Linked DNA regions of Saccharomyces cerevisiae S288C. The protein of the gene in region 1 purifies or fractionates together with the protein of each later gene. This does not show direct contact. Each region holds a gene or a part of one and is shown on either strand. Other genes may lie near its edges.

Region 1 (8,104 bases):
CCTGCATGGGTGCTTGATGAATGTTGTCTTATTGACCCAGGTGGTAGCTGGAGCGAGAATCTGGCGATTTCCAGGTAAAGGTCACCGCAAGATGAATCCATGGTACCTAAGGATTTTACTCGCATCACTGGCCATTTTTTCACTGCTAACCGTACAATTTATGTACTCCAACTACTGGTACGATTGGCATAACTCAAGAACTCTGGCGTATTGCAACAATTTGTTTTTACTCAAAATATCGATGTCACTAATCAAGTACATCCCACAAGTGACGCATAACTCGACAAGAAAATCTATGGATTGTTTCCCCATTCAGGGTGTGTTTCTAGATGTCACTGGCGGTATCGCCTCGCTGCTCCAATTGATTTGGCAGTTGTCTAACGATCAAGGTTTCAGTCTGGATACGTTCGTGACAAATTTTGGAAAAGTGGGACTGTCAATGGTAACTTTAATATTCAACTTCATCTTTATCATGCAGTGGTTTGTATATCGATCTCGAGGCCATGATCTGGCGTCAGAGTACCCGCTGTAGCACACAAGGAGAAATCTGCATAATTACGCATATATATATATATATATATATACATAAATATACATAAATATATGTATGTATGTATGTATGTGTGTATGTATGTATGTACACACATGCATGGTTTAAATAGACAAACCTTGGTGGAATTTATACTTTTTTTTGGTGACGAGGACGTCCGTAAGAGCATCGTCGTCAACAAACCATGATACACGACCAGCAGCACCTTCGTTGACAATACTGCTAGGTAGGCCCTTTTCAGGCCTTTCCATAATGGTCTTGATGATGGGCGCCTTGGTTGCACCTTCGACAACGAAAGTAACCCTGTGAGAATGGCAGATTACAGGTATAGTCAGCGAAATTCTGGTCGAGGGCCCACTAGGAGCGTTCTCCACGGGCACCACCCATGCAAGTTTCTCACGTAGATTGTCCTGGAAGTTAGGGAAGAGTGATGCGATATGACCATCGGGGGCACAACCAAGCAGGAACAAGTCGAACATCGGAAGTTTGACGGAATCTCTACCGGCAAACCCGCGGATTAGCACCTTTTCATAGTTATCAGCGCATTCTTGCGGGTCGTCAATCAATGACTCGTCAATGTGGTACACCTTCGGAGTTCCATACTTCGCCGTGTCTATCAGGTCCAAAATCTTCCTTTTGGCGCATCCATAATTGCTTTCATTCGAGCTGAAGGGTACAAGTCTCTCGTCTGCAAAGTAAATGTCCCAGTCTCCCCACCGTACATCGTCTCGTTTTAGCAGACCTTCGTGTAGCACTTCGATCAATGACCCACCGGAGAGAGCAATCTTGAACCGTTTCTCCTTTTTGGGCTTACTGCTACCACTGCCACTACCACTGCTACCACTTTTCCCTTCCGCGGCAGATGCTGTGCTTTTGCAAGAGGCCTCTCTCGTCATATCCAGTGCATTCATGCTGATGTTGGGAACAGAGTGTTTCCTCTCGTTCTTTGGAGCCAATGCACCGTCTTGCGCGTGGACTACATGGTCAGCTACGGCCTCTGCCACGTCTGAAAACTCGTGAAACGCGAATATCTTGGGTACCGTCGTAGTCATATTGTCTTGCTGCAAATTGCTTTCTGTTCTAGTCCATACCTACACTGGATATGACGATGATGATGCCACTATTATCATTGAAATTTGTTAGGAAAACCCCTGTAGCGCCCGCCCTATTTAAACCTAATTTCCCCAGGATGTCTAATCACATTTTCTTCATTTTTTGGAAACTAGACCTTAACATATTTCGTATTAACCCTATGTCTCGAATTGAAAATTTCGCGGGTCTTTTCTCTTGCCTTGGTACCTTATGTAAAAAAGCGATGCCAGGAACAATAGGATAAAAATAGCAGCAACAACATACGATAAGAATTGAGGATGCTAAGCTAATGTTGTTTTACTTAGGGTGGCTATAAAAGGTAGTTCCTTGTAGGTGAAAATGATGATGGATATACTGAATACACAGCAACAAAAAGCGGCTGAAGGCGGGAGAGTTCTGGCTCCTCATACCATCTCAAGTAAGCTCGTGAAGAGATTATCAAGTCATTCCAGCCATAAACTATCAAGATCTGATTTGAAAGCATTGGGTGGCTCGGAAACAATAAGCGACGGCCCCAGTCAGCTGACTTTTAAGGACCGATACGTTTTCAATGAATCGCTATACTTGAAAAAGCTAAAAAAGACCGCTTTAGATGACTACTACACGAGGGGCATAAAACTCACTAACCGCTACGAGGAAGACGACGGTGATGACGAAATTATTCGGTTGTCTAATGGCGACAGAATTGATGAAGACCTGCACTCAGGTGTCAAGTTTTTCTCCACTACACCTTATTGCAGGAAAATGAGGTCAGACAGTGATGAACTAGCTTGGAATGAAATTGCGACCGAACGGTTCAAATGGCAGTCAATGCTGGCCAGAGTGCTGAAGGGAGATATTGTTAAAGGTGAAAAGACGAGGATTGCTAACCAAGTCAAGAAACCAGGGTTAAATAAGGAGCTCTCAGATGAGATATGGCTCGAATTGAAGGCATGGCTGAATGGGAGGACCATGCAAGAGATGGAACAGTCGCTTACATATTTAAGAGATAGTTCAGATTCCGTTTTTGAAGAGATAATGAAGTTTCAAATTCCACAGGGCAAGATATTGAGCCTGGATGCACTGGAGGCCATCTTACAAGACCTCATGAACAGATATCACAGCGTTGTCTCTTATTGGCCTAACTTGAAAAAAATGTATAAGGATAAACCAATCACCAATACTGCAGAATTTACCGCTAGAATAGACGTAATGAATTCTTGGCTGAACTTTAAAACGAACTTAACGTTGAGGAGGCAAGAGTTGGACGACTGGATAAACCGTTTCTCACCGATAAGTAGTTCGGATAATTGCCAAGAGGATTTTGATGGTGTGCCCCAATGGAACTGCAAAATGAAGATTCTTGCAGAACAATTGATGAAGGAAAAGAACATCGAGTCTATATTCCAAAAAAAAATTTTCTATCCGCTATCACCTTGGATGTTCAAACTGAAACTACATTTTATAGTCTACAGAGAAACTTTGACAAAGATGAACATAAAATATCCTTATGAAAGGTTAAGATCACTACTGGCGTTCCCCGTCTATTTAATCAAAGAAGTTATTTTGACTAGATTGTCATATGCACGAAAGCTTAAAAATCCAACAATGATGATGATCGATCAAATGATCGATGATTTTAACGCTTTTATTCGACTTTCTGTGCAATTGAAGTACACACTGACAAAATATTGCTCCAATTTGCCGTTCGATGTGGATTTTGACCCGACGTTCGAAAATACTGTAATAGAAGCCATTCGTTATTTATTTTTTCTGTTGAATTTAAAGTTGATTGATTCCAGTAAACAAAATTTCAAAGCACCCGATCTACTCTTGAAATACTGGGATCACCTAAAAAACACCGGTCACTATATTAACGGTGCAGAAACCGTGATTCCAAATGAATTTCTCAAGTTAACTTTGAGACTCGTACATAAATTGCAATTCTATCTTTTGAAACAACAAAACTTCCCACCAACATTTGCTAACGCTTCAGAAGCAGAAAAATGGCTAAGTTCCATTTTCGAAAATTTGGGTGCCATGAAAAGAAAGCTGAACAGGTTCAGCAATATTCTAGTCAAGGCGTTCCAAAATTCTGCTGTTTATCAGATTAATCATAATGCACAACTTGTTAAAAAGTTAAAAGATGCTCACTATTTTTTGGTATACTCCGGTAACACTTTTGAGTCTAGTGGTGTATATATGTTTGCTGCTCCTGAATTATTAGGTTGTGACAATGATACCATCTTAAGAATTTTGCGAAATAAATCCATTGGCTGTGATTTGGTCCCAAAGCTTGACATTGGAAATAATTTGAATGTGTATGATATAACAACAAAAGAAACAGATTTGAACATTCTAGTATCGAAAGGGGAGGATTCCAAAGGAATTCCTTACTACCGAGTAGTAGCAAATTCGTCAAGTGATTTGGACAGGCATGCTCATCAGTCCAAAAAGAAGAATTTTTCAACAGACCCTTTTGATCAGCACCTTGATGAAAAGAACAATGAAGTTTTTGAATTGGAAGTTGCTTTGAGCTCATTGGGTGCACTAGTTGTACTATATCCTGGAGAGCCAGTAGTTTGGGATGGACCAGTATATAAGCTTCCAGGTAACAACCTTTTTGCATCCAACGAAATGGATTTAGGGAAAATTGGTAACCCAAATACGTTGATTTTACTCAATCAAGGTTCTAATTATGCACTGACTTATCAAATCGACAAGTTTAATCAAACGGTAGGTGATTCTGTTTCATTCATAGAGAAACGTTGTTCACTCAATTCAATTGAATCCTCCCTACAAAAAATCAATAAGGCATATTACAAACTTACTTATACAGTATTGAACAACTACAAAGGAATTCTAGGTAGCTTTATGAAGCAATGTCCGGGAAATGAGTTGTTAAATTCGATATTCATGTTTGGAAGGGATTTTGGAAGAAGTTTCCTTAAATATAACGCCTTTAGCTCAAAGAGGAAGTACGTTATCATCTTTCTGATGGTTAAATTAGGAATGAACTGGTTGAAATTCCTTGTTGAAGAGTGTGATCCTACCGATCAGCGAACTTTCCGATGGTGCGTTCTTGCAATGGATTTTGCGATGCAGATGACTAGTGGTTATAATATCCTGGCGCTGAATGTAAAGCAATTTCAAGAACTGAAGGAGAGGGTATCAGTATGTATGTCATTATTAATTTCACATTTCGACGTTATGGGTGCACGAGCCACTGAAGCTGAAAATGGCATGCAACAGGCAAGATTGAATATTGATACTGAAGAGAATATTGATGAAGAGGCCACCCTAGAAATAAACAGCAGGTTGAGACTGGAAGCTATAAAGACGTTGGAAAAGACTATGAAGAGGAATCCCAGGCAAATGGGTAAGGTATTGGATGCTACAGATCAGGGAAACAAATACCTACTATCGCTAGCATCCTCATTATCGAATGTATCAATGAGGTGGCAAAAAAGAAGCTTCATTGGCGGTGGAACATTTGGACAGGTATACTCTGCAATTAATCTGGAAAACGGTGAAATCTTAGCTGTTAAGGAAATAAAGATACACGATACCACAACAATGAAGAAGATTTTTCCCCTGATTAAAGAAGAGATGACCGTATTGGAAATGTTAAACCATCCTAATATTGTCCAGTACTATGGTGTCGAAGTACATCGCGATAAAGTTAACATCTTCATGGAATACTGTGAGGGTGGTTCTTTAGCCTCGTTATTGGATCATGGAAGAATTGAAGATGAAATGGTAACACAAGTGTACACATTCGAACTATTAGAAGGTTTGGCATATTTGCACCAATCTGGCGTGGTGCATCGCGACATTAAACCGGAGAATATCTTGCTGGATTTCAATGGAATCATAAAATATGTGGATTTTGGTACGGCACGTACCGTTGTAGGATCTAGGACTAGAACTGTGCGGAACGCAGCCGTTCAAGATTTTGGAGTAGAAACAAAGTCCCTCAATGAAATGATGGGGACACCGATGTATATGGCTCCAGAGACTATTTCAGGCTCGGCAGTTAAGGGAAAACTTGGAGCGGACGATGTATGGGCATTAGGATGTGTTGTGCTAGAAATGGCCACAGGTAGACGACCTTGGTCTAACTTGGATAATGAATGGGCCATCATGTACCACGTTGCTGCAGGTCGAATACCGCAACTACCCAATAGAGACGAAATGACTGCAGCGGGAAGAGCCTTCTTGGAAAGGTGTTTGGTTCAAGACCCCACTATGAGGGCTACTGCTGTGGAACTACTGATAGACCCTTGGATGATACAAATCCGTGAAATAGCATTTGGCAACTCAGAGAAAGATCAAGTACCTATCCTAAGCTCATAGAGTGGTCAACGTCTAAAAATATGATATACTACGATATATAATGTAATGTAATTCAATAATGGTGATGAAGGCAAGATTTCATTTAGAGCTGTTACCCGAGAAACCGGTGAAAAATTTTAAAATGAAAAAAAAAAAAAAAATGCGATGAGCTTCAAAAAGAGTATCTTTAAAAGACATATATCACAAGATTTTTATATTTGTAACCTCGATAAACACACACTAACACAATATACAGATGTCCACCCTGATTCCTCCACCTTCTAAGAAACAAAAGAAAGAGGCTCAACTTCCCAGAGAAGTAGCTATTATTCCGAAAGATTTACCCAATGTTTCAATCAAGTTCCAAGCTTTAGATACTGGTGACAATGTAGGTGGCGCCCTGAGAGTTCCCGGTGCTATCTCCGAGAAACAGTTAGAAGAACTTTTAAATCAATTGAACGGTACTTCAGACGATCCAGTGCCATATACCTTCAGCTGTACAATTCAAGGTAAGAAGGCCAGTGACCCTGTGAAGACGATTGATATAACAGATAACCTATATTCTTCATTAATAAAACCAGGCTATAACAGTACAGAAGATCAGATCACGCTACTGTATACGCCAAGAGCAGTTTTCAAAGTCAAGCCGGTAACTAGAAGTTCATCAGCCATTGCAGGTCACGGTTCCACAATTTTGTGTTCTGCCTTCGCACCACATACGAGTTCTAGGATGGTAACCGGTGCAGGTGATAATACTGCAAGGATTTGGGACTGTGACACCCAAACGCCAATGCATACTCTAAAGGGTCACTACAATTGGGTTCTCTGCGTTTCCTGGTCCCCCGATGGAGAAGTAATTGCTACGGGATCCATGGACAATACCATAAGATTATGGGACCCAAAAAGCGGTCAGTGTCTAGGTGATGCTCTCAGAGGTCATTCCAAGTGGATCACTTCTTTAAGTTGGGAACCTATACATCTTGTGAAGCCGGGCTCCAAACCAAGATTAGCTTCATCTTCTAAGGATGGTACTATTAAGATTTGGGACACTGTGAGCAGAGTTTGCCAGTATACGATGAGTGGTCACACAAATTCAGTGTCTTGTGTCAAATGGGGCGGCCAAGGTCTATTGTATAGTGGCTCTCACGATAGAACCGTACGTGTATGGGACATCAATTCGCAGGGCAGATGTATCAACATTTTGAAGTCGCATGCGCACTGGGTTAATCACTTATCTTTATCTACAGATTACGCATTGCGCATTGGTGCATTCGATCATACAGGTAAGAAGCCTTCTACACCAGAAGAAGCCCAGAAAAAGGCATTGGAAAATTATGAAAAAATCTGTAAAAAGAATGGAAATTCAGAAGAAATGATGGTTACTGCAAGCGATGATTATACCATGTTTTTATGGAACCCACTAAAATCTACCAAGCCTATAGCAAGAATGACCGGTCACCAAAAATTAGTCAATCATGTGGCGTTCAGCCCTGATGGTAGGTATATTGTCTCAGCGTCTTTTGATAACTCTATCAAACTTTGGGACGGTAGAGATGGTAAGTTTATCTCCACATTTAGAGGGCATGTAGCCAGCGTATACCAGGTTGCGTGGTCATCGGACTGCCGACTACTGGTGTCATGTTCCAAAGATACCACGTTGAAAGTGTGGGATGTAAGAACTAGAAAACTTTCTGTTGACCTCCCTGGTCATAAAGACGAAGTTTATACCGTCGACTGGAGTGTCGACGGTAAAAGAGTGTGTAGTGGTGGGAAAGACAAGATGGTAAGATTGTGGACGCATTGAGTTATGTGCAAAGACAAGTAACATACATGCACATATAAATATTATATAACTGTGATATAGAACTGCATTTTTTTCTTTTTGAATATTAAATATGATGGTGTCGCAAGGTCGATCTATAATGGTCATCGCGTACGAATGGCTTGGTATGAATTTAAAATATGGTACTATAAGCAGTATAGCTCCAGCAAGAAGGAAAACCTTTTGAAAGAAGTGCCCGTTTACCTAAAGCAACTTACTCCAAGGTAGCGTGTGAGCAAAACTATGATCAGTTCGTGTGTTACTAGATGTTTTGGTAGGGGTAAATGCCTTCCAGGGCCTGCCACTGCCTCGATATACCAAACGAT
Region 2 (6,571 bases), on another chromosome or scaffold:
TAATTTGTATTCAAGATATTCTTATCAAAGCACTTATTTTTTCATTATATTTCTATATTGATTTAAGGACGGTACGCTATTTTCTTTGTACCTTTTACTATGCATAAAAAAAGGGGAAGTGTTTAACAATCGACACTTACTTAATATGTTTTGCCGCCCTTCATAAGAGGGTGTTTCTAAAATTTATTGGGCAAGAATGAGATGGACTCGCACCCTACATGACGTTTAAATATTTAGTGTTAAGGTTCAGAACATGCACCAGGTGCGACATGTGTTGCGATTATCATGACAATGTCTCTATCCGAGATGCATTTGTAGTATCAATTGATGCGTATTATGACATGATTTACATAGCATACATCGTCAAACATGATATTATATTCTTTTTTTGATAAATGTACGGATTTAAAGCTGTCGAATATATTTTCTGAAATTTCTTGGAGCTGACGCAAAATTTTCAAAGGTGCTAAAATTTTTCAAGATTTCTCACTTTTGCTTGGTAACAAAGAATGATGGCATTGCATTTTTACCACCGGTACATTTAACTGCTATTTCTCACGTTTCTTTCCCTATCCTTAAGTAATTCTTTTACAATCTAAGAAAACCACGATCAAACAAATAAATCAGCAATGGGTGCCTACAAATATTTGGAAGAATTGCAAAGAAAGAAGCAATCTGATGTTTTGAGATTCTTGCAAAGAGTCAGAGTCTGGGAATACAGACAAAAGAATGTCATTCACAGAGCCGCTAGACCAACTAGACCAGACAAGGCTAGAAGATTGGGTTACAAAGCTAAGCAAGGTTTCGTTATCTACCGTGTCAGAGTTAGACGTGGTAACAGAAAGAGACCTGTTCCAAAGGGTGCTACTTACGGTAAGCCAACTAACCAAGGTGTCAATGAATTGAAATACCAAAGATCCTTGAGAGCTACCGCTGAAGAAAGAGTTGGTCGTCGTGCCGCTAACTTGAGAGTCTTGAACTCCTACTGGGTTAACCAAGATTCTACTTACAAGTACTTCGAAGTTATCTTGGTCGACCCTCAACACAAGGCTATCAGAAGAGATGCTCGTTACAACTGGATCTGTGACCCAGTTCACAAGCACCGTGAAGCTAGAGGTTTGACTGCCACTGGTAAGAAATCCAGAGGTATCAACAAGGGTCACAAATTCAACAACACCAAGGCTGGTAGAAGAAAGACCTGGAAGAGACAAAACACTTTGTCCTTGTGGAGATACAGAAAATAAGCTGGTTGATGGAAAATATAATTTTATTGGGCAAACTTTTGTTTATCTGATGTGTTTTATACTATTATCTTTTTAATTAATGATTCTATATACAAACCTGTATATTTTTTCTTTAACCAATTTTTTTTTTTATAGACCTAGAGCTGTACTTTTATTCTGCTATCAAGCAAACCCCTACCCCCTCTTCTCAATCCTCCCCTCAGGCAGAACTTATCTACCTGTATCAAGGAGCGGACGAGGGAGTCCTAATTGTTCTACGTATACCAATGCTAGCAGCTTACATAGGTGGTGGCACTACCATAATACTTATATATAATATCTTTACGCTCAAGTAAATTTCTCCGCCGCATAAATTAACACCATGTTCTTTTTAGTCGCACCTTATTTTCTTGTATTTTTTTTCTTTCCTTTTCTTCCCGTTTTTCCTTATTAGAGCCATTAGATAAAACTCAAGAAAAGCAAAAGAGAGGGCTATTTCCACTTTAAGAATAAGCCTTAATAATTGGCAAATAGATCGTCCTTTTTTCCAGTTTTCAGCATTTGTGTTTTTTTCTTGCTCTTTTTAGCGATTAGATAACATTCAAGATCTAATCAATACCCCATTCCAAACAAAGAATCCAAATATACCATAAATAGGGACAAAAAACAAAAGAGCTAAAAATGGGCAAATATACCAAGACTGCGATCTTGTCAGTTTATGATAAGACAGGTTTATTAGACTTAGCCAAGGGATTGGTAGAGAACAATGTTCGTATCCTAGCATCCGGTGGTACGGCCAACATGGTCAGAGAAGCTGGTTTTCCGGTCGACGATGTTTCTTCAATTACGCATGCACCAGAAATGCTAGGGGGTAGAGTCAAGACTCTTCACCCTGCTGTGCATGCAGGTATTCTTGCCAGAAATTTAGAGGGCGATGAAAAAGATTTAAAAGAGCAGCACATTGATAAGGTGGATTTTGTTGTATGTAATCTATATCCGTTCAAAGAAACTGTGGCTAAAATTGGTGTTACAGTTCAAGAAGCTGTAGAGGAGATCGACATTGGCGGTGTGACTTTGTTGAGAGCAGCCGCAAAGAACCATTCCAGAGTGACTATTCTTTCAGACCCTAATGACTATTCTATCTTTCTGCAAGACCTGTCTAAGGACGGTGAAATTTCTCAGGATTTAAGAAATAGATTTGCACTTAAGGCGTTTGAACATACGGCCGATTATGATGCGGCCATTTCTGACTTTTTCAGGAAACAGTACTCCGAAGGGAAAGCCCAATTACCGCTAAGATATGGTTGTAATCCCCACCAAAGACCTGCACAAGCTTATATCACTCAGCAGGAGGAGTTGCCCTTCAAAGTGCTCTGCGGTACACCAGGATATATAAATCTTTTGGATGCCTTGAACTCATGGCCCTTAGTGAAAGAGTTATCTGCATCATTGAACTTGCCTGCGGCAGCATCGTTCAAGCACGTTTCTCCAGCAGGTGCTGCTGTGGGACTTCCATTATCCGATGTGGAAAGACAAGTTTATTTTGTGAATGATATGGAGGATTTATCACCATTGGCATGCGCATACGCTAGGGCCCGTGGTGCAGATAGGATGTCATCCTTTGGTGATTTCATTGCATTGTCCAATATTGTAGATGTCGCCACTGCAAAAATCATCTCTAAAGAAGTTTCCGATGGTGTTATTGCTCCAGGGTATGAACCAGAGGCATTGAATATACTATCTAAGAAGAAAAACGGAAAATACTGTATTTTACAAATCGATCCAAACTATGTTCCTGGCCAAATGGAATCCCGAGAGGTTTTTGGCGTAACGTTACAACAAAAGAGAAACGATGCGATCATAAACCAATCCACTTTCAAAGAAATTGTCTCCAAAAACAAAGCACTTACCGAGCAAGCCGTTATCGATCTAACTGTTGCTACGCTGGTTTTAAAATACACACAATCAAATTCTGTTTGCTACGCAAAGAATGGTATGGTTGTGGGGCTTGGGGCCGGCCAACAATCGCGTATACACTGTACCAGATTAGCTGGTGACAAGACGGACAACTGGTGGTTGAGACAACATCCAAAGGTTTTGAACATGAAGTGGGCCAAGGGAATTAAGAGAGCGGACAAGTCGAATGCGATTGATCTTTTTGTTACAGGGCAAAGAATAGAAGGCCCGGAAAAGGTGGATTACGAAAGCAAATTTGAAGAAGTCCCTGAACCTTTCACCAAAGAAGAAAGACTAGAATGGTTAAGCAAATTAAACAATGTATCGTTATCATCCGATGCGTTCTTTCCCTTCCCAGACAACGTTTATAGAGCTGTGCAGTCTGGTGTAAAGTTCATCACGGCTCCTTCGGGGTCTGTCATGGACAAAGTTGTCTTCCAAGCGGCGGATTCATTTGATATCGTCTACGTGGAGAACCCAATTCGTTTATTCCACCACTAAGTAGGGTACATTTTATGAGAAGAACAGAAACAACATATATAGCTGAATACAAGTGTATATACGTAAACGTATACGATTTACTTAATTTTCTACGTCAAAGGCCTTCCTCTTCTGCGAGAGGACAAGATGTGAATATGTGAATTATAGAGATGTCTGCAGTATGGTTTTACCCAAATGATCATGGACCAACTAGGGTCATTTCATAGTGTTTAGGAATATACTGCGGTAGGACGAACAACAAAGATGACCGAACTCAGATTTTCCCACTCTGCACCCACATCCCGCAATCTCTTCGTAATAAGGAGAAAGCTGGCCATAGGACAAAGTATAGGAAAAGAGCTCAAGATCATGCGTCCTACTTAATCTAAGTTAAACTCGTCAACGGGGCCACTTCTGTCTCATCCATATATATCATGGCAACAGCCCCCGAACCCCATATACACATCGTTAAGGCAACAGCACCCGATGCAACGACTAAGAGAAACTGCTCGTAGTCTGACGACTCAAAACTCTGATCACGAAGATCAGAGGAGAAGTCAGGAGCTGCATCTCTTATGTGATGCCGTTGTCCGAAGCGCCATCTAGATGAATACGTGAGGCCCATTGGAGGCTCCTTGAGACTCTGCCTCTCGAGCGTTGAAAAACGCTAGCCCAGTGTTTTAGAGAAGCTAAGCAGCAATAGCAAGAAATGCACACACACGTATGCGAGTGACTTCCCTTCCCTGTATAGTACCGAACTAGCACGAGACTATGGTTACTTTTTTTTTTACAAATAAGCAAAGAGAAACTTGAATGGGAAAAGAAGTTTACCATAGAAGTTAAATGCACGACGATGAGAGTTTCAAAGTGTTTATATAGGCGAGAGAATCTAAAGGAAAATTTTTCTTGAAATAAAAAAGCACTGTCAGGGTAACAATGTTAATAATAGCCGCTGATGGTTTAGGGTTACTACGCTAGAAGGACATAAAATCATTATTTACAAGAAACATACAAGGAGGCAATTTTTTAAACTCTCAATGTAGGATATTTCATTTAACTGCACTAGTGGCATCTATTATACACAATTACTCCAGTAGCTGCCACAAAGCACCCAAAGATAAGAATAATTACGGAAAATGAAATTTTTACTTTGAATATGATGATATGGGCATTGCAGGTTTGTAGTAAGAGCAATTTACAGGAATTCCTGACGGAATATTAATGTTTTCTTACTGTTTAATGCGATGTACATATTGTCAATACTAATGGTCACCACTGGAAATGGCTATCTTTCGTCTTCGTGAATAACGATCGCCGAGAGTCGGACCGAGTGAGTCAGCGTGATCGGCCTCATTTACCTTGTCGCCTTGCACGTCGGTATATAAACGTATGTGGATACTTTAAGAAGGGAAAGCGCAACCGTCCAAATTCTAATGAACAAAAGAACACAGGAATACAAGAACACAAGAGCGATAATGTCTGCCACTCTGTTCAATAACATCGAATTGCTGCCCCCTGATGCCCTTTTTGGTATTAAGCAAAGGTACGGGCAAGATCAACGTGCTACCAAGGTCGACTTGGGTATCGGGGCCTACAGAGACGACAACGGTAAACCATGGGTCTTGCCAAGTGTTAAAGCCGCCGAAAAGCTAATTCATAACGACAGCTCCTACAACCATGAATACCTCGGTATTACCGGTCTGCCAAGTTTGACATCTAACGCCGCCAAGATCATCTTCGGTACGCAATCCGATGCCTTTCAGGAAGACAGAGTAATCTCAGTACAATCACTGTCTGGTACGGGTGCTCTTCATATATCTGCGAAGTTTTTTTCAAAATTCTTCCCAGATAAACTGGTCTATTTGTCTAAGCCTACTTGGGCCAACCACATGGCCATTTTTGAGAATCAAGGCTTGAAAACGGCGACTTACCCTTACTGGGCCAACGAAACTAAGTCTTTGGACCTAAACGGCTTTCTAAATGCTATTCAAAAAGCTCCAGAGGGCTCCATTTTCGTTCTGCACTCTTGCGCCCATAACCCAACTGGTCTGGACCCTACTAGTGAACAATGGGTTCAAATCGTTGATGCTATCGCCTCAAAGAACCACATCGCCTTATTTGACACCGCCTACCAAGGGTTTGCCACTGGAGATTTGGACAAGGATGCCTATGCTGTGCGTCTAGGTGTGGAGAAGCTTTCAACGGTCTCTCCCGTCTTTGTCTGTCAGTCCTTTGCCAAGAACGCCGGTATGTACGGTGAGCGTGTAGGTTGTTTCCATCTAGCACTTACAAAACAAGCTCAAAACAAAACTATAAAGCCTGCTGTTACATCTCAATTGGCCAAAATCATTCGTAGTGAAGTGTCCAACCCACCCGCCTACGGCGCTAAGATTGTCGCTAAACTGTTGGAAACGCCAGAATTAACGGAACAGTGGCACAAGGATATGGTTACCATGTCCTCCAGAATTACGAAAATGAGGCACGCATTAAGAGACCATTTAGTCAAGTTGGGCACTCCTGGCAACTGGGATCATATAGTAAATCAATGCGGGATGTTCTCCTTTACAGGATTGACTCCTCAAATGGTTAAACGACTTGAAGAAACCCACGCAGTTTACTTGGTTGCCTCAGGTAGAGCTTCTATTGCTGGATTGAATCAAGGAAACGTGGAATACGTGGCTAAAGCCATTGATGAAGTGGTGCGCTTCTATACTATTGAAGCTAAATTGTAATGATTAAATAATACTTATACTTACCTATTACACTCTTCATATTTTTTTTAATGTAAAGAAAGTAAAAAAAAAAAAAAATAAAAAAAAGAGAAATGCTCTTTCTTTACCTTCACAGGTGTATTATTATGTTGTTGTAATATCCGGGTAGGTTTATTGATCGAGGCGAGGCGAAAGGGCATA

What was found.
Region 2: the proteins of SOL2 (region 1) and ADE16 purify together in Saccharomyces cerevisiae (affinity purification with mass spectrometry; 2 studies listed by BioGRID). This does not show direct contact.

Annotation. Positions count from the first base shown.
Region 1 is NC_001135.5:240,461-248,564, reverse strand, and holds SOL2 (Sol2p), read right to left. Parts: upstream 1,603-8,104; coding exon 655-1,602; downstream 1-654. Other genes in the region: cystinosin-like protein ERS1, read left to right, coding at 1-532; mitogen-activated protein kinase kinase kinase SSK22, read left to right, coding at 1,982-5,977; RSA4 (Rsa4p), read left to right, coding at 6,213-7,760; mitochondrial 54S ribosomal protein mL49 IMG2, read left to right, coding at 8,022-8,104. UniProt on the Saccharomyces cerevisiae protein: May be involved in regulation of tRNA subcellular distribution.
Region 2 is NC_001144.5:196,649-203,219, reverse strand, and holds ADE16 (bifunctional phosphoribosylaminoimidazolecarboxamide formyltransferase/IMP cyclohydrolase ADE16), read left to right. Parts: upstream 1-1,904; coding exon 1,905-3,680; downstream 3,681-6,571. Other genes in the region: 60S ribosomal protein eL15 RPL15A, read left to right, coding at 630-1,244; aspartate transaminase AAT2, read left to right, coding at 5,135-6,391.